Anolis sagrei: one gene and its partners. The protein of the gene in region 4 binds, or shares a complex with, the protein of the main gene of each other region. Links are inferred from orthologs where the notes say so. Each region holds a gene or a part of one and is shown on either strand. Other genes may lie near its edges.

Region 1 (7,666 bases), on a different chromosome or scaffold from region 4:
TGCCTTCAGTTCATGGTAATCTATAGCTTTGTCTTTATCTGTGTCAAAGAGCTCAAAAGCATCTTTGATCTCTTGCTTCTGTTCTTCAGTCAAGTCTCTTCTTTTCTTTCTCTTATTTTTTTCAACAGAAAACTCCGCTCTGCAACAAGAAGAAAAACAATTTGCACAATATTTTATAGAGAGCACGATGTAATGCCATTACTATCAATACCGGCTGTTAGGAATTTTGTTAGTTGAAGTCCAAAATCCCTGGAGGGCCCAAGTTTGCCCATGCGTGCACTGGAGAATTGGGGACCCCAAGTAGAAGAAAAGACTACAGGGAGAAGGGGAAGACATCTATTTAAAACGAGCTGTCCTCTGCCATGCGTTGGTGTGGCCCAGTCTGTGTATATGTGTGTGTATATATTTCGGTATTTGCTTTTTGTGGACTTGCTGTTGCAGGTATTTTTTAAAAAATGAATTTAAAATATTTACATTACAATGGGCCTCAGAAAGGGAGGCTGGTGTGTGGCCCCTTGTGTCCTGTCACTTGTTTTTGCCCATTTTGTTGATGGCTCGGGCTGCGAGCGGACATGCTTTGTTCACCTCCTCATTCCGGGTTGGGATGCAGCCCGTTGGAGGCCCCGATGCCACCCCAATAACATCCAATAATGTATAAACCTCACAATTAATATAGCATCCCTACTTTACGGATTTTCACTTACTGCGGGTGGTCCTGGAACGTAACCCCCACAATAAGTGAGGGAACACTGTATGTGGTTTTGCACATGCGTTATAATGTATTTTTATTTTTTTGGCTTTTTAAGTCTCTTGCATTGTGTTTTTCAGTGTTTTGATGAGTGATGGTCACCTGTTGGTTTACACAATAGGTGTATTGTGTCCAATTTTGGTGTCAGTTTGTCCAGTGGTTTTTGAGTTATGTTAATCCCACAGGCTGGTGATCTGGAAAATGAAGTAATGAGAAAGTGCTGGTTTCTAATATATGTAATGTCTTGTGGGTAAACAGTATTTCTTGCTGTGTCTTTGTCCATGTTGATGTCGAGATTGTCTGGGTTGCCTACCCTAGAACATGCAACATGGAATTGTCCTTCTTTAGGGGTCTCTTTCAAATCTATGATACTGTATCTGTGTGTGTGTGAAATCATCTATGGCTTTGTGGCTCTTTGTCAGGAGCGCTTTATTACATTTTCTTGCCCTGGTAAAGGGAGTTGGACTGGATGGCCTTAAGTATTTTCTGTTGGTCACGGGAGTTCTGTGTGCCACGTTTGGTTCAATTCCATCATTGATGGAGTTCACAATGCTCTTTGATTGTAGGTGAAATATAAATCCCAGTAAATGCAACTCCCAAATGTCAAAGTCTACTTTTTAACCCAAACTCCATCTGTGTACATATTTGAGCATATGGAATATTTGTGCCAAGTTTGGTCCTGATCCACCATTGTTTGAGTCCACAGTGCTCTCTGGATGTAGGAGAACTGCAACTTCCAAACTCAAGATCAATGCCCATCAATGTCCATGTTGGTCATGGGAGTCCTGTGTGCCACGTTTGGTTCAATTCCATCATTGGTGGAGTTCAGAATGCTCTTTGATTGTAGGTAAACTATAAATCCCAGCAACTACAACTCCCAAATGACAAAATCAATTTTTTAGAGTGATAGTCACTCCTTGGGTTAGTAGGTGTCTTGTAGCCAAATTGTGGCCAGTGGTTTTTGAGTTATGTTAATCCCACAAATGAACATTACATTTTAATTTATATATAGACTAGCTGTCCGCTGCCATGTGTTGCTGTGGCCCACATGGGGGTTCTGTGTGAGAGGTCTGGCCCAATTCTATTGTTGGTGGGATTCAGAATGCTCTTTGATTGTAGGTGAACTATAAATCCCAGCTACGACAACTCCCGAATGTCAAGATTCTCTCCCCCCCCCCCCCCAACTCTATCAGTGTTCACATTTGGGCATATTGAGTATTTGTGTAGAATTGGTCCAGATCCATCATTGTTTGAGTCCACAGTGATCTCTGGATGTAGGTGAACTACAACTCCAAAACCAAAGAACACTGCCCACCAACCCTTCCAGTATTTTCTGTTGGTCATGGGAGTTCTGTATGCCAAGTCTGGTTCAATTGTATCGTTGGTGGGGTTCCGAATGCGCTTTGATTGTAGGTGAACTATAAATCCCAGCAACTACAACTCCCAAATGACAAAATCATTTTTTTTTTAGTGAAGGACATACACTGGGTTGTTAGGTGTCTTTTGCCCAAATTTGGTGTCAATTCGTCCAGTGGTTTTTGAGTTCTGTTAATTCCACAAACAAACATTATATTTCAATTTATATATAGATGAAAGAAAGAGAAAAAAAACAATTTCCTTCTACTCCGTTTCCTAGAAATCCTGTGGGTCTGTCTGCGTGTGTTCACAATGGAATACAACGCCAGCAAAAACCTCAACCCATGATTGAACCAAGGCAAGGGCCAAAAGGGCGAAACAGGCAGGGACTGGGTGTTCTTAAGCGCCTTAGAGGAAAAGAGAGAGAGGCGGGGGCGGCGCGTGAGCCTTTCGCCAGGTGGCAGCTGAGGGACACGGAGCGCGCGCCCGCCTGAGGCGCCTCGCGAGGCAAAAAGGGAGGGGGCGGAGAACAAGCGCCGTTGAGTTTCCATGGCAACAAGAAGCGGGCGAGCACTCGCTCCCTCCCTCCCTTCCCGGTTCCCTCGCGCTGTAAACCAACCTTGACACTAAATTCATTCTCCTCGCCTCGGCCTGCTCCTTCTACCGGACACCGGGTGGGCTGCCGAGTCGGAGGAACGCCGGCGACTTTGGACCACCACCGGAAAACACGCGTCTTCCCTTTCAAAAGCCGGACGCCTAAGCTAAACGGCTTCTCGGTCAACAATGCGGCGTCCCTCTTCAGAGCTCAGTCGCGATTGGGCGCTGAGGAGCGTCCCTCCCGCCTCTTCTTGTATCGCAACGCTTCGATAGGCGAAGTCCCTTGTCAATCGGATTTCCCTCCCCGCCTTCCTCGCGAGGTTGCCAGAAGGCATGGGACGTCACAGAGAAGCGAAGGGAGGGGAGAAATGGTACGGCGCGGGTTGATGACGTCAAGAGAACGTGAACTCGCCCAATCTGCTCGGTTGGCGCGAAGAACGAATTTTGGGACTTTTAGGAATGGATGTGTTATTAACTTCCTTGTCGACTTATAGAGACCAAGTTAATTTCATTGGGTTTTCTTGGAGAATGAATACTCTTGAATCTTAGGCCTCTTTCACACAGCTAAATAAAATCCCACATTATCTGCTTTGAACTGGAATATATTTATTTATTGTATTTATTTACGACATTTATATGCCGCCCTTCTCACCCCCAAGGGGACTCAGAGCGGCCTACAACATATATATGTATGTATATATATACACACACACAATATGATATATTGTGTGTGTGTGTGTATATATATATATATATATCTTGTGTGTGTATATATATATATATATCTTGTATAGTACAATATCAGTATTATATATTACTATATTGTACTATACCATTATATTGTTCCACCTTGTCTCCTGTGCTATTCTAATAATATAATTTATTTATTTATTTCAGGCATTTCTACCCCACCCTTCTCACCCCCTAGGGAGAACTTGCATTACATTATAATATTATAAATATTATATGTATATACAATAATATATTGTATATACTTATAATATTTATAATATTATAATGTAATGCAATGTAACACTAATAATAATATATTATAATTATATATTTATATTACATGTAATATTACTAATAATATTACAATATGATATAGTACAATATAGTAATTTATTTATTTGTCGTGTCAGAGCAACCAGTCCATTATATTACATTTCTAACAGAACAAAGCAAACAAACAGACAAATACAAAACTTGTGAGTTTGGTAGTTGGTTAAATGTCCTTTGACCAGCATCTGGCCACTTGGAGTGCTTCTGGTGTTACTGCAAGAAGGTCCTCCATGGTGCATGTGGCAGGGCTCAGGTTGCATTGCAGCAGGTGGTCAGTGGTTTGCTCTTCTCCACACTCGCATGTTGAGGATTCCACTTTGTAGCCCCATTTCTGAAGGTTGGCTCTGCATCTCGTGGTGCCAGAGCACAGTCTGTTCAGTGCCTTCCAAGTCGCCCAGTCTTCTGTGTGCCCAGGATATAGTAATATTTAATACTGATATTGTACTATGCTAATAATTATATTATAATATATTGTATGTCTTGTAAGCCGCTGTGTGTCCCCTTCGGGGTGAGAAAGGTGGCATTTAAATGTCGTAAATAAATAATAATTATACCATTATATTGTAATATTACTAGTAATATTACATATAATATAAAATATATAATTATAATGTCATATTATTATTAGTAGTATTATATTGCATTATATTATAAATACTAAATGCATATACAATATATTATGTTAAATTATATTATTAGCATAGCACAGGAGACAAGATGGAACTTGTGTGGCATATATGTCATTGTGGACTCAGGTAACCCAGTTCAAAGCAGATATTGTGGGGTTTTCCACCTTGATATTCTGGGTTAAATGGCTGTGTGGAAGGGCCTTTAGAAAGCAAAAGCTAAACGTCTGCCAGGATCTATAGAGGTAGAGAGTGGTAACACATGAGACAAGGCTGTTTCACGTCTCGCGAGATCCGAGGGCACTCGGGAACCGAAATCTCGCGGCAAACCCGGAAGAGCAGCGCTCATGCGCAGTATGGGGCGTCAGGGCTGAGAGCGCGCTCTTTAGTCCTGCTTAGCGTTTGGTATGTATGTAGTGGCTCAGTTAGCTGGACGCCACGCTTTGGGGATTTGCTCAGGCCAGAGGTGGATCTGAACTGCCAAATTGATTCATTTTGAGTCCACTTTAACTGCCCGTGGCACAATGCTATGGGGTGGTGGGAGTTCTAGTTTTACAAGGCGTTTTGGCCTTCTCAATAGTGCTGGTGCCTCATCAGCTGTGGTAATTCAAGTGGGCTCAATTTGCATTGATTCTGCAATAGGCATAGGCAAACTTGGGCCCTCCAGGTGTTTTGGACGTCAACTCCCACTATTCCTAACAGCCTCAGGACCCTTCCTTTTGCCCCTCAGCCCCTAAGCGCCTGAGGGGCAAAAGGAAAGGGCCTGAGGCTGTTAGGAATGGTGGGAGTTGAAGTTCAAAACACCTGGAGGGCCAAAGTTTGCCCATGCCTGTTCTAGATTCTCCCACAATGCTCACATTTTAGTGCCCCAAACGTTAGCCCTGTTTCTGGGTATTTTTGAGCTGCTGATTCCAAAAATAACACCAGTTTCCCCTTCTCAGTTCTAGTTTTTTAGATGCAGAACATATGCCATCTACCAGTCTTCATCACCCATAGAAAATCAATGATATCTAAGAAACTAGAGCTGATGTAGTGTATCCAATTCAATTTTCTAAATCAGCGTCCCATATAACCCAGGAACAGACCTAAAAACGAAGACACCAATATTATTTACTAGAGTCTAATGTGCCATAAAATCTAATGCGCATCTTAATTTTCAAAACCTTGAAACCCAAAAAAAGCATTTACCATGTTACGCAAATCTAATATGTACCCCAATTTTGGGAAGGTAATTTAGTCAAAAAAGGTGAGCATTAGAATCAAGTAAATACAGTATTATTATTTTGAGCTGTATAATGATATTGATTTTATTGATTCTGTTATGGTTTTTATTATTCAACTGTTTTATTATATTGAAATGGCATTTTATGGTCTTGGTACCGACTGTGAACCTCCCCGAGTCGCCTGCAGGCTGAGAGGGACGGTATATAAATATAGTAAATAAATAAATAATGTGTTTACTGTTTGGGTTAAAGTTGTAATAGCAGTGTAACTGGACAATGTAAAGGGGGACATTCTTTTTCTCTATCCAGCTTTCTTTCTTTCTTCAAATCCCAGAGTGTAGAGAGAGAGGGATTACATGATTTAAAGAACACATAGAAAAACAATAGGGAAAAATGAAAATTAAAAATGCAGTAACTGTGCTTTGTTTCTGTAGGTATGTGAACAACCAGTAGCTGCTGATGTTAATGTTTCTGTATCAGTGTAAAGTTTATATGTTGTAGTGTAAGGATGTATTCTTGTGAGTACTCTATGTATTTATTTTTCCTGATTGTATCTATGTTTCAAAGATGGCAGAAAAACTGATTAAGGTCTGTTTATACTGTTTCAGGGAACAGAGCCGTAATTCATGAACTCATGGTAAGCTCCATGCTTATCAGTACATGAAATCAGATAGAGCAGTTTGATTATAAAGAAGCAGAATGCAATGTTTTGTGTTATTTTTGTTTCAGCTATGCTTTGTAAATACACATTTGTTGTTGTGCACATTCAAGCCAATTCTAAATGTGGCAACCCTAAAGCAAACCTATGACAAAGTTTTCTTCGCCAGATTTGTTTAGAGGGAGGTTTGCTTAGTTTTTTGAGGCCGAGAGAATGTTACCTGACTAGTGTTACCCAATTGGTTTCCATGACCAAGCAACAATTTGAACCCTGGTCTCCAGCCACTGGATATAAAATTTGTGTGAACTTCATGTGAAACTAATGTCTTTTTTTATATGTTTCCCTCTCTGTCTACAGATTTAAATAGAAATTTCCTCTCTGGAATGGATGGGCTGTTTAGAACAAAGAATATGCTACTTCCTAGTTTGGCAGTTTGGTGTCAAAAACAGCAACAATGTTGCAGGTTTTATTGCAATCTTCAGACAAAACGAAAGCATGTATCCCAACATTTTAGGTCCATGAATTTGCGAGAGGAAAGCATGGAATCCAAGGAGAGCAAACCTGTGGAAATGACATGCAAAAGTCAGAGACTGATGTTACTAGCAGGCCTGATTTGTCCTGCCAGCCCTGGTTGCTACCATTACATGCCATATGCAGTCCGAGCAATGGAGAAGCTGATCAAGGTGATAGACCAAGAAATGCAGGCCATTGGTGGTCAAAAAATGAACATGCCCACATTGTGCTCAGCAAAGCTCTGGAGAGCCAGTGGGAGGTGGGAGCTGCTGGGCAAGGAACTTTTACGAATGAAAGACAGGCACGGCCAGGAATATTGTCTAGGACCTACCCATGAAGAGGCCATCACAGACCTCCTAGCTTCCCAAGGCTGCTTGTCCTACAAACAGCTTCCCCTCTTGTTATATCAGGTAACAAGAAAGTTTCGGGATGAGCCAAAGCCACGCTTTGGATTGCTGCGGGGTCGAGAATTTTATATGAAGGACATGTACACCTTTGATGCCTCCAAGGAAGCTGCCCTCCAAACCTATGAATGTGTGTGTGACGCTTACAGCAATATTTTCAACAAATTGGACCTTCAGTTTGTAAAGGTTCAAGCTGCTACAGGAAGCATTGGAGGAACAATGTCTCATGAGTTCCAACTCCCTGCTGAGATTGGTGAGGACCAACTGATGATGTGTGCAAACTGTGACTTTTCAGCCAATGTTGAAACAATGAACTCCAGGGAAATGGGTTGTCCTGTTTGCAAAGGAAAACTAATTGAAAGCAAAGGGATTGAAGTTGGCCATACCTTTTTCTTGGGCACCAAATACTCTTCTGTTTTTAATGCAACTGTCCACACTGCCCAAAATAAGCCTGTTCCAGCTGAAATGGGCTGCTATGG
Region 2 (7,583 bases), on a different chromosome or scaffold from region 4:
AATGGTTTTGGCTGGCTTTTCACTTAAAAAATGTAGTAGTTCTGACTTACATACAAATTCAACTTAAGAACAAATGTCTAGAACCTATCTTGTTTGTTGGCTCTGAAATTCTTTGCTATACGGCTGGTTAGTCCCAACAGAGTACTATAATCAATTAAATCAGTTGTTAATGTTTAGGTAAGTCGCATTTATTCAATTCTAGTCATGTTAGTGAAACAAGAACTCCAATCTGGTTTATATGCAAACTCTATAGGAGTTATCCAAGGTGCTGAAATCATTTGTGGGCCTATAGTTCAGCATCTGGGACAGTTCCTGTAAAATTCAAACTAAAACCTTTAGCAAAACCCGCATCACACTGTTATGGAAGCCACTAGAAATCAATGCTTTAACTCTGACTTCAATGTCCATTTCAATACCATATACAGTTGCTGTCACTGGACATTCAAATTACGCATCACTGATTTAAATACACATCTCACCTGAGACTCCTTCCCTGGATGTATATTTTTACCTAGTGAGGAACTGGCCAATGCAAAAAAAGGAGCATCTAAGCCAGGGGTCCTCAAACTTTTTAAACAGAGGGCCAGGTCACAGTCCCTCAAACTGTTGGAGGGCCGAATTATAATTTGAAAAAAACATGAATGACTTCCTATGCACACTGCACAATTATTATTTGTAGTGCAAAAAACACTTTAAAACAATTCAATAATTAAAATGAAGAACAATTTTAACAAATATAACCTTATTAGTATTTCAATGGGAAGTGTGGGCCTGTTTTTGGTTGATTAAATAGCTGCTGTTGTGTGCTTTCAAGTCGTTTCAGAGTTAGGTTGACCCTGGGCGAGGGCCAGGTAAATGACCTTGGAGGGCCTTAGTTTGGGGGCCCCTGATCAAAGCTTTACAAAATCAGCTTTATTTACACAGCACCTTTGGACAAAGATCTAGAAAACATTCCTCCAATCTTAGTTGCAAAAAAAAATAATCAATGTTGACATCTCTCTAAACACAAAGGTTACCAGGAACAGACAAAAAGGGCCCACTGGAAAGAAACAAATGAAGCAGACACTACTAGAATGTTTGTTATCACCAACACTTCCATTCATAGTTCATGGTATTAATAACAAAATCCTTACTATACTTTGTGTATTTAATTCTACTCTGACTTCAATCAGTATTCCAGCTTATCATGTACTTTGTGGAAGTCTGTTTATTTCTTTCTCTAGAAAGGAACTCAAAGATAATACTCCATTCCTCTGAGGAAGTGGACTGAATCTGTATCACAAGTTATAGTAAGTTTGGTAGTTTGAAAAGTATTCTATAAGTATTGCTTCCTCAACCTAATATGGTTGCTCCCTCCCCCCAAAAACAGAATTCTTAATCTAGGGCCCCTTTCAAAGCAAACTAAGGGGTAGATATTTGTGACAAGAACAGAATAACTGTTCAGCCAGACAAAAAGCACTTCTTTGGCCCACTCACCAATGAATGAAGCGGTTTCTGGTTACCGATCCCAGCTGCGCATTCTGCTGGTACCAGTATCCACCAGCGCTGTCTGCATACCGCGCGGCTGTAGAGGACAAACCACCACCTGCAATGGGCAAACAAGGGAGGCTGGTCAGCCACCATGCACCACATAAAAGAATACCATTACACCTGCTGGCAACAAAAAAATGTTTTTCCATTGGCCTGTAGAGCCCGGTTTAGGTGGTCCAGTTCCCCTTGGAGGAGGAATTCGCAGATTCTGTTTGCACAGTCTGCCAGGGCTTTAACTGTGCTTCTTTTTTTACTTGGGTGATGGTTGTAGTTTTTATGTAGGTATCTATCCATGTGTGTAGGTTTTCTGTAAACTGTGGCTCAATTGTTGATTGGGTTTGCGGATAACTAGGACATCTAGAAATGGCAGCTTTCCTTCATATTCTTTTTTCATGGTGAATTGAATGCTTGTAACAGTTTTTAAAGTATTTTGGGTGACAAATACAAAAACCTTAACAAAGAAGGCATACACAGTTCTTTTAGTACTTATGTGAATACAAGTTGCACATTCCTTATTCAGAACTCTGATATGCTCCAAAATTGCCCACACTGGATGGCTGACATAGAGACACCTTTGCCTTCTGATAGTACAACATACACAAATTGCGTTCCATGCACAAACCATTAAAAAGTACGTTAAAAATATCTTTATACTGGCTGTTAGGAATTGCGGGAGTTGGAAGTCCAAAACACCTGGAGGCAGGGCTGAAATTTGCCCATGCCTAGTATAAAATGTATACAAAGTATAATCAAATTTCATGCTTAGGCTTGGGTCCCATCTAAAGGTACCTCATTACAAAACATAAATTGTCTGCTTAGATTTGGATGCCCATTTATATATCTCATTAGGTACATATATTCAAATACAAGTATGTATATTTTCTCCAATAAATCCAGGGTAGCTCTAGCCCAGAAATGGGCAAACTGAGGCCCTATAGGTGTTTTGGACTTCAATTCCCACCATTCCCAGCAGCCTCAGGTCCCTTCCTTTTCCCCCTCTGCCGCTTAAGCGGCTGAGGGGGGAAAGGGAGGGGCCTGAGGCTGCTGGGAATTGAAGTCCAAAACACCAATAGAGCCTCAGTTTGCCCATGCCTACTCTAGCCCCAAGCATTTCGCATACAGGGATACTCAACCTGTACAAATTTCATTCGGTAACGTACTACAACATAGGAACATAGGAGTATGTACGTGGTGGAGCAACCCTGAGGTCATTTTTGGATTGACGGCCTTCGGTTTTGCAGGCCTGAGCTACTGTTCCAGCCTGGCTGATACCGCTGCTCGAATAGGAGGGTGGCCCACCTGGCCCGGAAAGAGCACCCACCTGGGAGGCTGAAGGCGAGCTCCCGGGCTCGGCGTCGCGGCCTCCTTGAGGTCCCGCCCAGCTCCAGGTAGCCACGCTCCCCGAGGCCCTCGGCCACTGACGCCGCCATCTTCCCTTCCCGCGCGCGGCGCCGCGGGGCCTCACGGGAGGCAGGAGCAGGAAGAGGGCGTGGCCGGAGGGAGTGCGCCTCCGCTGTGCATCATGGGGCGGGAGGGGGCGTGGCTGTCTGCGCGACTCGTGCCCTTACGCTGCTTACGGAAAGGACAGGCGGCGTTGCCAGGGCAACGGCGGGATGATTGGCTCTCAGTTACGTCCGGCCTAACGGTCGTTGCGTGCGCGTTGATTTCAAAAGGGATGATGTCCAGCCGGAACCAATGATTTTCCAAATATAAACATCAATCCTCACAGGTTGAATGGTCTGTTGGAAACTAGGCAAGTGAGGTTTATATATCTGTGGAATAATGCCCAGGGTGGGAGACATTGTCTGCTGGAGGCAAGCGTGAATGTTGCAATTGGCCACCTTGATTAGCATTGATTGAATGGCCTTGCAGCAATTAGCTTTGAAGCTGCAAGACCATTAAATGCTAATCAAGATTATCAATTGCAACATTCACACTTGCTTCAAGCAGACAGGAGTTCTTTCTCCCATATATAAACCTCACTTGCCTAGTTTCTTTCTCCCATCTCACCTCTGAGGATGCCTGCCATAGATGTGGGCAAAACGTCAGGAGATAATGCTTTTGGAACATGGCCATACAGGCCGAAAAACTCACAGCAACCCAGTGATTCCAGCCATGAAAGCCTTCGACAACACATTAAGGATATATATAAATGTATTTCTAATCAGAACCCTGAAGACATTTTTGTATTATCCTTATACATATAAACCAAAGGTAATGTTATACAATATTTTAAATTAAAGTTTGTGTTAATAACAGCTTATATATTTTACCAATCAAATGTTCATCTTCTGTAAATAACTGTAACTCAAGTTCAGATTTACTTTATTATTCTTTCTTCCAAAGAAGATATTGTGGTGCCATGGATGTGGACTCACTTTCTTACACTGTGTGTCACAAAAAAGCCCTCAAGTCACCAAAAAGCATTGTGTGAGCAGTGTGCTGTATGTAAGGAATATAACCTCCATATGCATGGATGCCTGGAGCTCTTGTTACAAGAAATAACACATTGGAAGGTGCTGTAGCATCATAATATCTGCCAGGTTCAGTATTCTTCAAAGGAAGAGGATCCTGGCCCATGGGAGAGGTTTTGTTTCTTCCTTTTCTGGTTGATTTGAGAGCATTATCACATTTTCCTAACAGCTTCTTTGCACATAGCATAAGTTTTCATGACTATCACCCATGCTACATACAGTGTCATTCAGAAATTTGAGCGCATTTTTATTTGTTTATTTATTTATTTAGAACATTTTTACCCCACCCTTCTCAATCCCTGGGGGGACTCAGGGCAGCTTACAATTGGCAATAATTCAATGCCACATCATAAAATACAGGATAACAAATAACAATTATACATGAACATTAATAAATAAAGATGGATGCTCAGTCTCATTATATACAATTGTGTAGAAAATGGTGCCACTCGCATTAAAAACAAAATCAATATTTTGCTTTTTTGGATTTGTAATATATATTTTCAAGCTGTGGATGGTAGAATCCATGCATGCAGAATCTATGGATATGGAGGGCTGACTATAAGAGTATTATGCACATGTATAGGATAGGATTGTAGCCATTGTGATCAAAGAGAAATCAAATGAGAAAGTACTGACTGGTATTTACCTTATTAACATGTCCATGCAACTTTTATTTATAATACAAATGCCTTGGCAGTAGATAACACATGTCATAATATTGAATTATAGACTGCATTATAATGAATTATAATGCAGCTATTTCCCTTCACTCTCCCTTTCATTCAAATCTTTCTTTTTTGTTTCTTTTTCCCCACAGCAGTTGTGTTAAGGTCAGTGATAAGAGGTCTGGTGTTTCCTTGGACACTGATGTGTCATTTTACTGATTTGTTCATATTGCACTACATTAACTGCCATGGCTCAATGCTATGGAATAATGAGATTTATAATTTGGGGAGGTACCAGCACTATTTGGCAAGGAAGGCAAATGCCCTTGTAAAGTTACAATTCTCATGAGTTTATATCATTGAGATATGGCTGAGCAGGAATTTGAACTCTGGTCTCAAAGTTGTAGTTGAACACTTAAACTACTACTGTATACCACACTGGCTCTCCTCCTGTCTCCTGTTCTTGCTTTTTAAAAAACAAAATAGAGGTCAGTATGCTTTATGTTTTCAGGAATTCCAGTTGCTGATTTACCTTGGCTCTGTCTCTAGAGGGCATCAGTCACTTTAAGATCCTTGGCACATCGTTTGTTTATTTTCCCCATAAGTTCATATGTTAAGAAAACCTATTCATTTCAATGTGCTGGAGAAGAGTTATAGGGATACCACAGACTACTAAAAAAAAACCCCAACAAACCCAAATTAATGGGATTTAGAGAAAATCAAGTCTGAACTCTCAATAGAATAAATAATGACTAAATTGAGTCTGTCTTATTTTGGAAGTATCCACAAAAGAATAATATCTTTATTGACCAACCAAAATGCATAAAACCAATGATGCAAACTTTCAAATCTCTGTTCACGTTTTAATCAGGCAAATGTGTTAAAATATGAAAGGTGATGGAGTCACAGACCTAAATATAGTCTTACATATTGTTCTGTTCTCACATTTTTCGCCCTATGGAGAGCGAGACAACGTTACATTAAAGTAATGTATGAGAATATTAGTACAGAAAGTGCTTGTGAAGACATGTTTTATTATCCCATGAGCACTCAATGCTTTGTTTTAAATTTCAAGAAAATGTTTCTCTTTGTATAGTCCTATGCAACATTGTGAGAGTCATTTCTGCTTATTATTTATCACGGGATTGAGGACAGAGTCCAGAAAGAGCAAGAACAACACTTAGTGAGTTGCTTTTGTTGCTTATCTTTCTCAATCCAACAATAAAAACAAACACTTTCCTCTTTCCCTCAAAGACTTTGCTTTCCCCAAAAGCTTTGATTTCCCTTTTTATTGTCTCCTTTCTCTCATACAGGAATGGAAATCAAATAGAGTCCTAGATGCTGTTGGATTACAACTCTCAGTTTGAAATTGCATTATATGACAGCATAGGTGGGATCCCAATATATTTAACTTAGCATTCTGAAATATGAGAGGAATGCTAAAAGTTGCAATTTGTGATTCCTACCCCTACTTTAGCAGAACAACACTTTTCAAGAACTTAGATTTTGGAGAGCTAAAATTCCCTGTATCAACTAGCCAACATGTTCGTGCTAGGTAAAAGATTCCTGAGGATTATTGTTCAAAAAACTAACCTTTCTAAACTCTTTGCTTTATTAATTAATTTTAAAGGCAATATATTTATTTATGGGTTTTTAAAAAGTTATCTCCATTGCTTCTGCCCTGGAACACTGCTGAAATTTACAATCTGAATCAGCAATCTAGCTTTGGTCTGTATTACACCTTTTGTGTTGCTGTTTCTCATAGTGAGACACAAGGTGAACCTACACTGTAGAATTAATACACCCTTAACACCACTTTAACAACTGTAACTGAATGATATGGAATACTGGGAGCTGTAGTTTTACAGGGCCTTTTGCCTTCTCCACCAAATAGTGTTGGCGCCTCACCAAACTACAACTCCCATTATGCCATAGCAAGTGGTGTCAAACTACATAAATTCTACAGTGTAGATGTACCCCCAGTGGTTGCTTTTCCATACCAAAAGGCAGATTTGTTGAGACTGTAGAACAAAGTGATCAATATACAGAGTTAAAAATATCTTTTTCTACCCCCCCCCCAGTAATTCATCAACACAACTGACCCAAAGTATTTTGTTGCCTAAATAGTAGCTGCAAATGCCCAAAACTAGCTGAATTGTTTTGACACATGACACAGAAAATACCAGAAACACTTTTGCCCATCTTCAGATGTTAAAAAACCCCTAAATAACAAAGCAAATAACTAACACTTTGCTGTTACTTCATGACAACCATCATTTCTTGCATCAGTTGGGCATATGGATGCCAGCCCTGGCGTTATACCAGTTTAGTTCTATTAAACCTTTAATTCTGTCTTTATCGTTAATTCTCACATCTCCCTTGCTATAGCAGATGAGATTAGATTTGGGAGGCTGGACACCCTAAATTATACACTCAAATTATATTTTTTAAGAACCTGGACCCTTACGTCTCTTTTCTATCTATACTTTGGACTTTCTTCAAGAGGATGTATTTAGTTCAGGGTCAGCCTTTTATCTGCTTTATCAATGGATTTCCAGATGAGCTTAGATCCTTGCTGTTCGATTCTTTGAATCTAGATATCAGTTGTCACTTCATCTGTGCTACCTCATTGTATCACAATGGCCTTGGAAGCTTTGTTATGCAGCAGGAAAGTATTGCCTCTAAAACCATGCCTTTTCATCATTTTCATATACTCAGATAACAATGTACCTGTATGATTTTAACATAACATCCTCTTTAGTGACTTAATTTGTGTAACCTCTGGGCTATAGCTATCTCGTAGCCCTTTCACATAAGAGAATTCTGGCTGTAATAGGAATTGAATCCCATAACTATGTTACGTTTGCGAGGGCAACAGAAAATTTGGCAGGATATCATGATTTTTGAATGG
Region 3 (7,767 bases), on a different chromosome or scaffold from region 4:
AATAGAAACAAGTGGGAGATAAAGGTGGAATAGATAAGAATAAGAACACTATGAAAACAATATTTGATATATATTCGGAAATGGTGATGAATTGTGATATCATTCTACCTGTGTCTGCAATAAAAACATCTATTTAAAAAAGAGATAAACTTAATAAAGCAATAACATTGTTTTGCCTTGTATTCAGACAAGATGGAGGTGCTGTGATGAGTGGTTCCCATACCTATACTCAGGGGTGTGTGCCTGCATTCACTGAAATTGTTTGAATCCCCACTGAGCTCAGTAATTAGGAGCTTCAGATAATTCAACCTGATCATGGTGGTTCAGAAACTGGTAACCGCAAATCAGATTACTGCAATGCCTCCTATGTAAGTCAACCATTCAAAATGCTTCAGACGTTGCAGCTGGTGCAGAATGCAGCTGCTCACTGACTGACAAGAAAGGGTGATCAACTGGACACAAGGGATGCACTCAAGGATTCATACTGGTTGCTAATGTGCAACTTGGTCAAATTCAAGAGTTTGATGTTTTTGTTTAAGTCATAAGAAAACAACTTGGAACCAAAATACTTAAAGGACTTAATTTCAATGGATATTTTGTGAAGTTCTGTTTGGGAACTCTACAAAAGCAGCTCTTGAGGATCGTTAATGGAGTTCTTCATACAATTATTCATCTACTGAAGAAAGCTTATACGGTATATCTCCAGTTGCATTGTGAGTGATGTCCCAAAAAGTTTCCCATCCAGGTATGGATCATATTGAGCCTATCTAGTTTCAGAGACTAGGGCCCCTTCCACACAGCTGTATAAAATCTACATTGAACTGGATTATATGGCAGTGTGGGCTCAGATAACCCAGTTCAAAGCAGATATTGTGGATTATCTGCCTTTATATTCGGGGTTATATGGCTGTGTGAAAGGGACCTAGATATCCCTTTGAACCAGAAAGCCCATCAAATCTTATTGCAAGCAAAAAAGAAAATACAGCTCACCATTGCAATGTATTTGCTATCATGAATTTGTAAAACACAACAAAAGCTTGTAAGATAGTAACATAATGCCAACCTGCAGATCTAAACAAGGTTTCACACACCAGCATCTCCCCAGGTCCCCACGAAAAGCATAACTGTTTCTTGTCTGAGTTTACTCCAGGAATCAGCTGTTTTTCAAAGAAAATGAGAGGATAGCACAGGGAAACATAGTGACATAGGATATTTACATACAAAAATATACTTTTCAAAAGTACTGGAAATACATACATGGTGGAAACAAAATCAGAAAAGAGGGAAGTACTGTGGTGGCACAGCGGGTTAAACAACTGAGTGGCTGAACTTGCTGACCGAAAGGTTGCAGGTTCGAATCTGGGGAGTGGGGTAAGCTCCCACTGTAAGCCCCAGCTTCTTCATGATGATGGTGGTTGTTGTTGTTGAAGGAGGAAGCCTCCTGGAAGGCTAATGGCTCCAATAGTTTCCCACTACTGTAGATGCAGACATTTACAAGGCTAGCTGGCACAAGCACACACAGGTCTGAATTAAACTAACTTAATTTATGAAGGGAAACATTTATATCCCTTATTGTAAACTGTTTCTATATGTTGTACACCGCCGTGAGTCGCCCTAGGGCTGAGAACGGCGGTCAACAAATGCAGTAAATAAATAAATAAATAAATAATATCCCAACATAAAATTATTTTCCTGTCATTCACTATCTGCCTTGGGGTATGGTGGAAGCTCCTTTTTGGTGGCTATTTGTCAGGGATATTTTGATTGTGCTTTTCCTACATGGGAGGGGGTGGACTAGATGGCCCATGCGGTCTCTTCCAACTCTATCTTTCTATGATTATATTAAACTGTGTCCATCATAGTACTGATGTTGTTTGACAGCACTATAACTGCTCTGGCTCAATGCCAGGGAGTCCTGGGAGTTGTAGCTTTACAAGGCCTCCAGCCTTCTCTGCCAAAGAGGACTGGTGCATCAGCAAACTACAATTCCCAGGATCCCACAGCATTGAGCCTTGGCAGTCAAAGTGGTGTCAAACTGCCTGAACTCTACAGTGTAGATGCATCCATTATTTCTTCTGTTGTTACTGTGAAAGGGCCCCTTGGTGGCACAGCAGGTTAAGCCACTGAGCAGCTGAACTTGCTGACCAAAAGGTTGGCGTTTCAAATCCAGGGAGCGGGGTGAGCTCCCACGTTTAAGCCCAGCTTCTGCCAACCTAGCAGTCTGAAAACATGCAAATATTAGTAGATCAATAGGTACTGCTTCGACAGGAAGGTAATGGCGCTTCATGCAGTCATGCTGACCTTGGAGGCATCTATGGACAACGCCTGCTCTTTGGTTTAGAAATGGAGATGAGCACGACTAGGCTTTATGTCAGGGGAAAACTTTTACCTTTACCTTACCATGAAATTTCCAATGCATCATAATTGCCTGCCACATTTCATGAGTGCTTACTTGCTTGTTGTGTGAGTGATCCTTTGATTCCTTTTCCCAATTGTCAGGGTTTAGAAGGATATTCCAAAGTTGGGAGTACCTTGGTTTTGTCCTCATTTCATCCCTTGAGTCAGCATGAAACATTCCTATCAATTCATTGTTACTTCAACTATTAGTATTATTATTGTTATCATCATTTTCAGCCCAGAAGTTTCCTTAAAAACTCTGTCTCAAAGGGGATCTATACCACAGAATTTAATGCAGTTTGACATGACTTCAACTGCCATGGCTCAGTGCTATGGCAACCCTGGGATTTGTAGTTTGGGGAGGCCCCAGCACTGTTCGGCAGAGGCGGCTAAAGACCCTAAGAAAAGACACTTCCCAGGATTCCACAGCAGTGACACGCCCGTTAAAGTGGTGTCCCACTGCATGCACTTATCCCGCAGGCCCCGCTCCGCACCGTGACCGTGGGCTCCTCGTCCACCTCCTCCATCGCTCTCCTTCCCGGCCGCCTGCCTTCGCGCTTCTCCGCCGCTCAAGCCTTCCTCCCTCTCGCGAGGAGGCTTGGAAAGCAGCCAGCCAATCGCCGTCCTTCTCGGTCAGCCGCGCGCACATTGACGTAAGGACGTTCTCCGCCGCGCAAGCGCATTCTTCCCTCTCCCCGTTCCTGCCCAGAGAGGTAGGAAAAAATATAGACCTATTCACACTATTCCTTTGATATTCCCCTTCTTTCTTCCTCGGGAAGGTGTGACCGTATAGATATGGACCCTTTCTTTCCCCGCCGTTGAGGCTGTCTTCCAAATTGCCTGTTAGAATTATACTTCTCAGATTCTTGAAACGAAGTTCCCAAGGCTAATTTTCTCCTCATACCGTGAAAAACAGGAGAAGGGGAACCGGCACGGTCCCTTCTAAAATAGCTTCGGTTCGATACATGCAGTTCCTTAGAATCAGGCACTCGGCTAGTCGACAAAATAAAAGGACCCCCACCTTTTATTCAGAAAGCTGCATGTAATGCTCATTTCAAGATCGGTCCATCTGTATCTCTAGAGCAGTGGTTCTCAACCTGTAGGTCCCCAGGTGTTTTGGCCTGCAACTCCCAGAAATCCCAGTCAATTTATCACCTGTTAGGATTTCAGGGAGTTGAAGGCCAAAACACCTGGGGACCCACAGGTTGAGAACCACTGGACTAGAGGGTCCCCAGGCAGCAACCAGCCAAGCTTTGAAGCTGCAAGGCCATTAAATTATCATTGTTCTTGCAGCCACTGAATTCTACGCATGCCATGAGTTGCCAAAAAGCCGATTACATGGGCAAATCAAGTCTGAACTCTCTCCAGAAGTCAAGACGGCTGAACACACTGAATATCGTAAAGGCAGCAGATTCTGTCTGATGTTTACTTACTTTCCTGATTTCAGAGTTTTTTTAATACTGGTGGCCAGATCTTGTTCATTTTCGTGGCTATTATCCACATGCTTGTGGATTTCAGTGGCTGCAAGGCCATTAAATTATCATTTCATGGCCTTGCAGCTTCAAAGCTTGGCTGGTTGCTGCCTGGGGGATCCTTTGTTGGGAGGTATTAGCTGGCCCTGATTCATTCTTGCCTGAAATTCCCCTGGTTTTTTTTTTTTTTTTAGTGTTGCTTTTTATTTATTGTCCTGATCCATGTCATACTACACAGAGCAACACTAAAAACAAACAAACAAACAAAAACGGGAATTCCGGGCAAGAATGAATCAGGGCCAGCTAATACCTCCCAAGATAGGATCCCCCAGGCAGCAACCAGCTAAGCTTTGAAGCTGCAGGGCCATTAAATAATTAAGGTGGCCAATTGCAGCATTCACACTGGCCTCAAACAGACAAGAGTTCTTTCTCCCACCCTGGACACTCCACAGATATATAAACCTCACTTGCCTAATTTCCAATAGACGTCATAGCCGCTGAGGATGCCTGCCATAGACGTGGGCAAAATTTCAGAAGGGAATGCTTCTGGAACATGGGCATACAGCCCGGAAAACTCACAGCAACCCAGTGATTCTGACCATTAAAGCCTTTGACAACACAAAGTAAATATAATAAGTATCTGAAGTTTTTTTGGATTTAAAAGGCAAAATCTTCATAAGGCAAAATCTCACAGGAAGAGGATTTTGCTACAGGCGGTTGCTAATAAAACTCCTCCGGTCTGCATGATCAGAGTCCAGTTGCCTCCCTCATTAGAAACCATATCCTAAATTATTTTTTCTGTTTTTGTAGTAACTTAAAACTTAAGTCAACCATTCAGAAATACCGTAGATTTTAAAGCATTAAAGGAAAAGATAATGCAAACTCAGTAAATTCACTGATGGGTGTATAAATATTGTCGTTATTGTTAACTCAGTACATTTAAGAATTCTAGGTGTTCTAGATTTACCTACTAGAATTTTTGGAAAGGAAGGAACATTTTATTGAGGCTGAAACATTTGGAGGAACAATGCCCTCATCCTCCATCTCATAGCTGTGTCAGTTTATCACACTACAGAGTTAAAATTAAATAAAGAGGTGGAATATTTCAACTACCGTATTTTCTGGTGTATAAGACTCCTTTTAAATCCAAAAAAACTTCTCAAAAAGTCAGGGGTCATCTTATACACCGGGAGTCATCTTATAGAGCGGGTGCTGAAACTTCCAATCCAGATTGGAGAATCTGTGGTTGCCGCATATGGGGGGGGGGGGGGGGCTCAAAAATGGCAGTAGCTGCGTCCCTGTCTTATGCAGCGACTGTATGAACGCATTAAGGGCGACGCTGTACAAGTACAGTAGAAGAAAATACATTCATCAGGATTCGTGGACTTAATGTGGTCCCAATGGTGAGGTGAAGGGGCACCTCACCGGGAAGATGTAAGTGAAGGGCAGAGCAAGCTGCAGGCGTCCAGGGTGCCCGGGGTATGGAAAAAAGTGATAGAGTGGCTCTGGGCCCAGAAAAACACAACTCTTTTACCTGTCTGGCTCGCCCTTGTATCCTATTATCGTACCAGTCCTCTGCCTCTCAGATCTCGCTCCTGAAGACTGCAGTGAAGTGCGCATGTGCAAGATCTGAGAGGCAGAGAAGGAGATACAGTAATAGGAAAATTACCATATTGAAATTGAATCTGATTTTTAAATTTTTATTTGGTGTGCATTGGAAGACAGGTAGTCTTATACAGTGAGTATATCCCAAACTCTATATTTTAACTGGAAAAGTTGGGGGTCGTCTTATATGCCCAGTCGTCTTATATGTTGGAAAATACGATACATCATAAAATGTGTCCTGTCAGGTGATGCAATTATTTCGGGGTGTGTTTGGCTGCCCCTAAGCCTCCCATGCATAACACAAACATCAATAGGGAATCCTCCTTTTACTGGATTTTAACACACTAGTTACCAAGAGAGAGAGAGAGAGAGAGAGAGAGATTCAACCATTGTATGAAAGCAATGCAAGAAAAGTGACAACTTTAAATGCCTTTTGTCTTCATTAATAGAAGATAGTTTCTTGCATTAGATTGAATAAGATTGTCCTACTTCAGTGCTGATGAGACACAATTCTTATAGCTAATCAAATGCCTACACAGCATTAGAGGAAAGAGAACACGTTGTGGGCACATCAACACTGCAGAAATAATGCAGTTTGTCACCACTTTAACTGCCATGGCTCAGTGTTATAGAATAATCAGAATTGTAGTTTTACAAGGTCTTTAGCCTTCTCTGTAAACTGCCCTGAGTCCCTTCAGGGAGAGAGGGCAGGTTATAAATATATTATTATTATTATTATTATTATTATTAATAATAATATTATTATTATGCCAAAGAGTGCTGGGGATCTCACCCAACTACAACTTCCATTGTTCTATAGCTTTCAGTCTTGGCAGTGAAAGTGATGTCAAACTACATTATTTTTACAGTATGTGCACCCTGTGAAATAAGGCTCATAGAGGCTGGCAAATCAGAAGTTCCATATCCCTGCTTTACAATAAAGTTAATTATAATGTACTTCTTTTCAACATGCTAGAACTTCAGCCATTCATCAATGCTGATTAGCAGTAGGTGGAGGTCTGAGAGTTAATTCATATATAATTAGCTTATGAGCCTGTGATATTAGTTTAGACAGCTTTCTAACAGGATTGCTTGTAATCTCCCTAAGATATTTCATACATGGTTGATGAAAGTCATAAGATTAATTTAATGCACTGTGGTCTTGGTGAACAATGCAGTACATCACTGCACTTTAAGTTCACTTTAACTGCTTGTTGATAAAATAATTCAGGTAGAGATTGGTGTATTTATAGGCCCCATTTTGATCAAGTGTCTCCTACTTCCTGGAATTCTGGTCTCTGAGTCATAATCTGAATTAGTCAAGACATTTGTCATTGGAAAAATCAGACATAGTCCATTAATAATTTGACACGTTTCCCTAGATGTTTAAAACAATTAAATTATACACCTTTACACTTCACAATCTTGTCTAGTTTTCTCACAGTTGCCCTTCTCACACCCAGGGTGCGTCTACTCTGTAGAATTAATGCAGTTTGACCCCACTTTGCCATGGCTCAATACTGTAGAATCAATCTTGGGAGCTGAAGCTTGGTGGTGTCACTGAACTAGAGCAATTTAGAATGGCTGCGAATAGTGAGATAGCTGATAGCAAAACCTGAAATGTGGATAACTGAAATGTGGAGTCCTAATAAGTGGATACTGGTACCTGCTGCAGGTTGCCCTGTTAGTCTGTGTGCCTGGCAAGTGAAGCTCAACGTTCCTGAAGAAAGCTCACCAAGTTGAAGAAGCCACTGAGGTATTTTATTCAATCAGCTGAAAGTGATGCCAACTTGTGGTTATCTGCCAAAGTAAGCTGAGACACCATTACGGTGAACAGCAGACTTTTTTATACAATACAGTGTTTTGAAATTCCTGCACCTGCCCCAGATGGGCCAGCACCACCATAATTGACTGAGCTCTGATGACACCAGGGAGGATTCCCTGCAGAGGTTGGACTGTGGCATCCACTGGCCAATGGAAGAGTATTCCCTGCTTCCAATGCAGCTGGAGCACTCTCCAATTGTTGGCAGGGGAAACTCCAAAAAAGGAAGATATAGTTTTATGATTGGATTACCTTGTCCCAACATCAGGGACAAACAATGTGGGCGCTTGGGTCCCATGAGTTTTATTGTCTTGGTGATTGTTTTTATGAACCCCGACCTCACGGGCTGATGACTCTGCACCAGTGTCCTTTATATTTCCAAACAGCAAATATTGTTCATGATAATAGGATTATGAACCCATTCCTGAGAAAGGGGCGATGTCATTGTGGAAAACAGGGCATGATTCTCTC
Region 4 (7,855 bases):
AATATAACACATTGTATATAATATGCAGTATTAAATATAATAATACAACACAGTAATAATTTATATAATAATAAAAATTAATATATTTAATATAATATATGTTATAATTAATATAACAATCATATTATAATAATATAGTAATATGTATTATAATAATCATTAAAATTAAATAGTTAATATAATAATAAAATCTATATAAATAAAAATGTTATTATTATTATACTAATATTGTGCTATGCTAATAATATAATATATTGTATGAATATATATCTTGTAAGCCGCTCTGAGTCCCCTTCGAGGTGAGAAGGGCGGCATATAAATGGTGTAAATAAATAAATAAAATAAATAATATATATCATAATAATAAATATATTTATTATTATTATTACTATTATTAAACTTTATTTGTACCCCGCTAGCATCTCCCGAAGGACTTGATGTGGCTTACAAAGGCCAAGGCCTCAACACAACAACAGCAAAACAGTAACAATACAGTTTAAAGCAAATTAAAACATAAGCAATAACAAAACAATACATAAATTATGCAATAAAAACCAGGGCCGGGCCAGTGATGGGTATAGGTTAAAAAAGTGCTGGGTGTGGCAGGTGGTATTTTGGATTTCCGGGCAAGTGCAGAGTGCAGAGAGTCTTAAACTCTAATAAAGTGCTTCTGGGAGTAGTGCTGGAGATTATCCTATTCCGGAAAGGCACATCGGAATAGCCAGGTCTTCAAATTCTTCCTAAAGACTGCCAGCGTGGGTGCTAGTCTAATGTCTTTGGGGAGGGTGTTCCAGAGTCAGGGGGCCAGCACAGAGAAGGCCCTGTCCCTCATCCCCACCAAACGCGCCTGCGACGCAGGTGGGATCGCGAGCAGGGCCTCTCTGGATGAACGGAGGGAGCGCGTGGGTTCGTAGATGGAGATGCGGTCACGCAGGTAGGCAGGTCCCAAACCGTTTAGGGCTTTGTAGGTAAGCACCTGCACCTTGAATTGGGTTCGGTAGATAACCGGCAGCCAATGGAACTCCTTAAACAGGAGGGTTGACCTCTCTCTGTAAGGAGCGCCAGTTAACATCCTGGCTGCTGCCCGTTGGACCAGTTGGAACTTCTGAGCCGTTTTCAAGGGCAGCCCCACGTAGAGCGCATTACAGTAATCCAATCTAGAGGTGACCAAGGCATGGACCACCCCGGCCAGGTCAGCCTTCGCGAGGTACAGTCGCAGTTGGCGCACGAGTCTCAAATACAAATACAGTAAAGAATAAATAAATAAATAAATAAAGCTTGTATGAAAATATATCTTGTAAGCTGCTCTGAGTCCCCTTTGGGGTGAGAAGGGCAGCATATAAATGGTGTAAATAAATGATAAATAAATAGTATATATCATAATAATAAATATATATAATATAAATAATACAATATGCAGTATAACAATAAATATTAAATATGTATCATAACATAACAACGAATCATAATACATCGGCCATCTGTCAGGAGTGTTTGGATGGGTCTTTCTTGGGGGGTCTGTTTGGATGGCCTTTGGGGGCCCCTTCTCTTTCCTTTTCTCTACATTGGCAGTCTTCAGAAAGAACTTGAAGACCTGGCTGTTCCGATGTGCCTTTCCAGATTAGGAATCTCCAATACCAAGTCCTAGAAGCACTTTAGTAGAATTAAGATTGCTGCACACCGCACACTGCACTTACTTATAATCCTACATACCTCCTGCCACACCAGCACTTTTAATCTTGCACCTATCACTCTGGCCCGGCCCAGTTTTATCGTGTCTTTCGAAAGAAGGTTAAAACCTGGCTCTTTGAGCAAGCGTTTGGCTAATCAGTGCAATCGAACATAGGATGACGGTAAATTGAACATAGGAATGGCACAAGGATTATGAGACCGGATTTTGCTTTGTGATCGAGGCATTATGAATGATTAATTGTGTATTTGTTATTGTGTATGATGTGTTTTAACTGTTATTGTTGTGTTAATTTACATTGTGTAAACCGCATTGAGTCGCCTAATTAGGTTGAGAAACGCGGTATAGAAATAAAGCAAATAATAATAATAATATTGTTTTTATTGTTGTTGTTCATACTGCTTAACTGTTTTTGATTTGCTTTAGGTGTTGTATTGTGTTTTGAGGCCTTGGCCTATGTAAGCCGCATCGAGTCCTTCGGGAGATGCTAGCGGGGTACAAATAAAGTTATAATAATATTACTAAAATAGTTAATATAATAATAAAATCTATATAAATAAAATTATTATTATTATTATTATACTGATATTGTGCTATGGTAACTGTTTATTAATTGTGTAATGTGTTAGGTTGTTAACTGTTTCTATACTGTAGCACTGAATTTTTGCTGTTTGTATTTGCTGTGAACCGCTGTGAGTCGCCTTCGGGCTGAGAAGTAAGATTAATAAATAAATAAATAAAATGGTAATAATATAACATAATGTATGAAAATATATCTTGTAAGCTGCTCTGAGTCTCCTTCGAGATGAGAAGGGTGGCATATAAATAAGTAAATAATATATATCACAATAATAAATAAAATAAATAAATAATATATATATATATATATATATATATATATATATATCATAAGTATATTTAAAATAAATAATATATTATACAGTATAACAATAAATATATTAAATATGTATCATAACATAACAAGTAATCATAATACACCGGCCATCTGTCGGGAGTGTTTGGATGGGTCTTTCTTGGGGGGTCTGTTTGGATGGCCTTTGGGGGCCCCTTCCCTTCCCTCCCTCCCTCCCTGTGGGCCCGGCCTTTACCCGCTCGTGGGCCTGGAGGCGCCGGAGAAGGCAGGGCCCTCGCCCGGCTCTCCTCCCGCTCCTCCCGCGGCGGCCTCTCCTTCTCCTCCTCCTCCTCCTCTTCCGCGGGCCAAGAGTCTCCTCAGAAGCCGCGCCTCAGAAGCACCAGCAACGACGACAAGGAACGACGCCTCCTTCTCTTCTCCTCCTCACGCGAGAAGCGGTTGCGGGCTGCGTCAGGAGCACGCACGGCGACGCACGGGCCGTCCTACGTCACCGCCGCCTCCCATTGGCCCGTCGCAGTCTCCACCTCCCCGTGGAAAAGAGCGCCATTGGCCGGGCCTCAAGTTGAGACAGAATCCTCGCCCTTGATTGGACGCGCTGCCGACCAATCGGATTCCGTTTTCCTTACATCGCAAACGGGGATTGGAGAGGAAGGAGAGGAACTAAAAACAAGGAGAGGAAGAAGTGGCTTCCTGGAAGTGGGCGGGGCTAATATCTCCCCCGACTCATTGGGTTGGCCTGCGGGTATCCATGGCAACCTGCTTCAAGGAAAAAAGGCGCCTGGGAGCGGAGACTAGGCCGCGATTTCCCCTCAAGGCCCCGGTTGGGCCTAACGAGGCGGGCCGAGCGAGGAAGGGCCCCGCGGTCGGCGGCAGCGGTGAGTGGCGAAGCGCGGAGACCATTCGGTCATTGGTTAAATGTGAATGTTGCCACTGGCCACCTTGGTTAGCCTTGAATGGCCTTGCAGCATCAAAGCCTGGCAGCTTCCTGCCTGTTTATTAGCATTGAATGGCCTTGCAGCTTCAAAGCCTGGCAGTTTCCTGGCTGTTTATTAGCATTGAGTGGCCTTGTAGCTTCAAAGCCTGGCTGCTTCCTGCCTGTATCTGTGGAAGGTCCAGGGTGGGAGAAAGAACTCTTGTCTGCTGGAGGCAAGTGTGAATGTTTCCATTGGCCATTTCATTAGCCTCAAATGACCTTGCAGCTTCAAAGCCTGGCTGCTTCCTGCCTGTTTATATATCTGTAGAAGGGCCAGGGTGGGAGAAAGAACTCTTGCCTGTTGGAGGAAAGTGTGAATGTTTCCATTGGCCACATTGATCAGCGTTGAATGGCCTTGCAGCTTCAAAACCTGGCTACTTCCTGCCTGTTTATTAGTATTGAATGGCCTTGCAGCTTCAAAGCCTGGCTGCTTCCTGCCTGTTTATATATCTGTGGAAGGTCCAGTGTGGGAGAAAGGACTCTTGTCTGCTGGAGGGAAGTGTGAATGTTTCCATTGGCCACTTCGATTAGCATTGAATGGCCTTGCAGATTCAAAGCCTGGCTGCTTCCTGCCTGTTCATATATCTCTGGAAGTTCCAGGGTGGGAGAAAGAACTCTTGTCTGCAGGATGCAAGTTTGAATGTTTCCATGGGCCACCTTCATTAGTATTGAATGGCCTTGCAACTTCAAAGCCTGGCTGCTTCCTGCCTGATTATGTATTTGTGGAAGGTCCCGGGTGAGAGAAAGAACTCTTGTCTGTTGGAGGCAAGTGTGAATGTTTCCATTGGCCACCTTGATTAGCATTGAATGGCCTTGCGGCTTCAAAGCCTGGCTGCTTCCTGCCTTATTATATATTTGTGTGTGTGTGTGTGTGTGTGTGTGTGTATAGTAAGCTGCTCTGAGACCCCTTTGGTGTGAGAAGGTTGATATATATAATACTACTACTAATAATATTTATTATTATATAATAATAATAATATGATATTATAATTACATGTTTTATATTACATGTAATATTACTAATAATATGGTATAGTACAATATGGAAATATATAATACTGATATTGAAGTATGCTAATAGAATAATAGAATCCTAGAGTTGGAAGAGACGTGGTGGGCCATCATCCAGTCCAGCCCCATTCTGCCAAGAAGCAGGAATATTGCATTCAAAGCACCCCTGACAGATGGCCATCCAGCCCCTGTTTAAAAGCCTCCAAAGAAGGAGCCTCCACCACACTCCACTGCTGAACGGCTCTCACAGACAGGAAGTTCTTCCTCATGTTCAGATGGAATCTCCTTTCTTGTAGTTTAAAGCCATTGTTCCATTGCGTCCTAGTCTCCAGGGAAGCAGAAAACATCTCTCTCCTTCCCATGGATCAGAGCATGGCGGGTGAAACAGACTCCTCAGGTCTGCCACACTTTGAGCATTATTAGATTGAGTCTTTTATAGGAATGTTCTGCTGATGTCGTCCCAAAGTTGCAAAATAATGACCGTCGTCTTCCATCCTGGCTCCATCTCAGTTTCCCAGCAAGATGTTGATCTTCTTGATTGGTGTTGACAAACACAAGACTTGTGTTGACTTCCTTCTTAACATAAGGAATGTTGTAAACATTTCTCTTAACCTGAAATAATCATTGACACAGTCCTTATCACAGTTTACTTTTCAGTTCTCATTAGCAGGTTTTAATCATAGTCCAGCAAGTAGTTATGTTATGAACCCAAAGAGGTTCCTGTTCTTTTGTGCAGAGTGTTCAAGGAATAGAATCATAGAATCATAGAATAATCATTGTCACAGTCCTTATCATAGTTTACTTTTCAGTTCTCATTAGCAGGTTTTAATCACAGTCCAACAAGTAGTTATGTTATGAACCCAAAGAGGTTCCTGTTCTTTTGTTCAGTGTTCAAAGAATAGTAATGCAGTTTAGACCAATGAGACACTTCAGAGACCAAATTTGGTTTTGACCCTATTCATGTAACATTTATTGAAATACAATAATCACAGAATCATATCAGAATCACATCAAGGGAGAGCTCTCGTGCACACACACATTCATGCATACACACAGGTAAAGATGATCAGTCTTTTCCAAGGAGGTGCGGACGCTCCGTTGCCTTGGATCAGGAAGCGTGCATGTTCTTGGGGTCCGCTGCATTAAATAGGCCAAAATCCATTTTTCCTATTTTTAATAATCAAGCTGTTCCATCCCTTTTAAGTCCCGTACTTTTCAAGTTCAGGACATCCACGTGACTTATGGGGTACACCTGCACACTCCTTACACTCCTTACACGCTCGGCCGCACACCTTATTGTTCATTGTCATTCAGCTATGCCTTGCTGCTTCCTCGCTTCGACTGCCAAGTCCAACCCATAATATCATGCTTTGCACGGACACCATGTTGTAGTTTCTTCAGGCCGGTTCTTCTTCTACATGCATTCAAACATTCATTCCTTACAGTTAGTCATTGCAAACATTTCCTTAACTTGAAAGAACCATTGTCACAGTCCTTATCACGGTTTACTTTTCAGTTCTCATTAGCAACTTTTAATTACAATCCAGCAAGCAAATTTAGTCATTGCAGGCCTTAATATTATACTGGTGCTCCCAAAATTATTAACTCCATCCATACATTCTTCCATTTATTCCCACACATATATTAAATCCACATTGATCAAATCTGCAATGATATTTTCGTGACAACTTCAGCCCTCCCTCCAGTTGTTTTGGACTTTAGCTCCCACAATTCTTAACAACTGTTAAACAAGCTAGGATTTCTGGGAGCTGACGTCCAAAACATCTGGAGGAGCAATTGAGAAACTCTTCACTAAGGAAACCCATAGTTTAAGAAGCCGTGGGCCAGGGAGCAGGGGTTGAGGCTGCAGAGGGAAAATAATTGGCTGCTGCTGCCTGTTTGCTTTGGAGAGGGCTACATTAGGGTTACTTACTTAGGTGATCCCTCGTTGGCCGAGTAGGATAGTCTTCCAGGATCAGTATTCTGGTGGGTCCGTGGGTGGCTGTGAAGCCCTATTCTTGACCTGCATCTTCTCCCATAGTGAGGGCATCAGTTTCTAGGTGGAAGGCAGTCTTGGTCAGGGTTGGCGTGATGCACCTTCCTCTTGACACGTTTCTCTCTTTCGCCCTCCATTCGTGCCTCTTCAAATTCTACAGCACTGCTGGTCACAGCTGACCTCCAGCTGGAGCGCTCAAGAGCCAGGGCTTCCCAGTTCTCGGTGTCTATGCCATGGTATTCCCTGTAGTAACCTACGGATGTGAGAGCTGGACCTTAGGGAAGGCTGAGCGAAGGAAGATCGATGCTTTTGAGCTGTGGTGCTGGAGGAAAGTTCTGAGAGTGCCTTGGACTGCGAGAAGATCCAACCAGTCCATCCTCCAGGAAATAAAGCCCGACTGCTCACTGGAGGGAAAGATACTAGAGACAAAGTTGAAGTACTTTGGCCACATCATGAGGAGACAGGAAAGCCTGGAGAAGACAATGATGCTGGGGAAAGTGGAAGGCAAAAGGAAGAGGGGCCGACCAAGGGAAAGATGGATGGATGGCATCCTTGAAGTGACTGGACTGACCTTGAAGGAGCTGGGGGTGGTGACGGCCGACAGGGAGCTCTGGCGTGGGCTGGTCCAGGAGGTCACAAAGAGTCGGAGATGACTGAACGAATGAACAACAACAACAACAACTTGAGCCCATCTTTCAATCTCTTTTCCTGCCCACCAACATTCCATTTTCTGTTCTTGAGTTTGGAGTAGAGCAACTGCTTTGGGAGACGGTGGTTGGGTATTCGGACAACATGGCCGGTCCAGTGGAGTTGATAGTGGAGGAGCATTGCTTCAATGCTGGTGGTCTTTGCTTCTTCCAGCACGCTGACATTTGTCTGCCTGTCTTCCCAAGAGATTTGCAGGATTTTTCGGAAGTAGCACTGATGGAATCGTTCCAGGAGTTGCATGTGACGTCTGTAGACAGTCCACATCTCGCAGGCATATAGCAGGTTTGGGAGGACAATAGCTTTATAAACAAACCCCTTGGTCTCCCTACGGATGTTCCAGTCCTCAAACACTCTCTGCTTCATTCGGAAAAAATGCTGCACTCACAGAGCTCAGGTGTTGTTGTATTTCGGTGTCAATGTTGACGTCTGTAGATAGTCCACGTTTCACAGGTGTATAGCAGGTTTGGAAGGACAAAACAATCCCCTTGGTATCCCTATGGATATCCCAGTCCTCAAACACTCTCTGCTTCATTTGGAAAAATGCTGCACTCACAGAGCTCAGGTGGTGTTGTATTTCGGTGTCAATGTTGACGTCTGTAGATA

What was found.
Region 1: NUP98 (region 4) and CETN3 share a complex: the UniProt entries of both Homo sapiens proteins name them as parts of the nuclear pore complex. The link is inferred for Anolis sagrei from reciprocal best matches to the Homo sapiens genes NUP98 and CETN3.
Region 2: NUP98 (region 4) and NUP160 share a complex: the UniProt entries of both Homo sapiens proteins name them as parts of the nuclear pore complex. The link is inferred for Anolis sagrei from reciprocal best matches to the Homo sapiens genes NUP98 and NUP160.
Region 3: NUP98 (region 4) and NUP85 share a complex: the UniProt entries of both Homo sapiens proteins name them as parts of the nuclear pore complex. The link is inferred for Anolis sagrei from reciprocal best matches to the Homo sapiens genes NUP98 and NUP85.

What each region holds. Positions count from the first base shown.
Region 1 is NC_090024.1:171,867,609-171,875,274, forward strand, and holds the start of CETN3 (centrin-3), read right to left. Parts: upstream 3,006-7,666; 5' UTR 2,741-3,005; coding exon 2,724-2,740; intron 140-2,723; coding exon 4-139; intron 1-3. Other genes in the region: PARS2 (probable proline--tRNA ligase, mitochondrial), read left to right, coding at 6,654-7,666. UniProt on the Homo sapiens protein: Plays a fundamental role in microtubule-organizing center structure and function. As a component of the TREX-2 complex, involved in the export of mRNAs to the cytoplasm through the nuclear pores.
Region 2 is NC_090021.1:231,925,684-231,933,266, forward strand, and holds the start of NUP160 (nuclear pore complex protein Nup160), read right to left. Parts: upstream 3,018-7,583; 5' UTR 2,961-3,017; coding exon 2,852-2,960; intron 1,586-2,851; coding exon 1,477-1,585; intron 1-1,476. UniProt on the Homo sapiens protein: Functions as a component of the nuclear pore complex (NPC). Involved in poly(A)+ RNA transport.
Region 3 is NC_090022.1:117,259,630-117,267,396, reverse strand, and holds the start of NUP85 (nuclear pore complex protein Nup85), read right to left. Parts: upstream 3,020-7,767; 5' UTR 2,925-3,019; coding exon 2,892-2,924; intron 1,158-2,891; coding exon 1,064-1,157; intron 1-1,063. UniProt on the Homo sapiens protein: Essential component of the nuclear pore complex (NPC) that seems to be required for NPC assembly and maintenance. As part of the NPC Nup107-160 subcomplex plays a role in RNA export and in tethering NUP96/Nup98 and NUP153 to the nucleus.
Region 4 is NC_090023.1:2,203,340-2,211,194, reverse strand, and holds the start of NUP98 (nuclear pore complex protein Nup98-Nup96), read right to left. Parts: upstream 3,013-7,855; 5' UTR 2,800-3,012; intron 1-2,799. UniProt on the Homo sapiens protein: Plays a role in the nuclear pore complex (NPC) assembly and/or maintenance. NUP98 and NUP96 are involved in the bidirectional transport across the NPC. May anchor NUP153 and TPR to the NPC.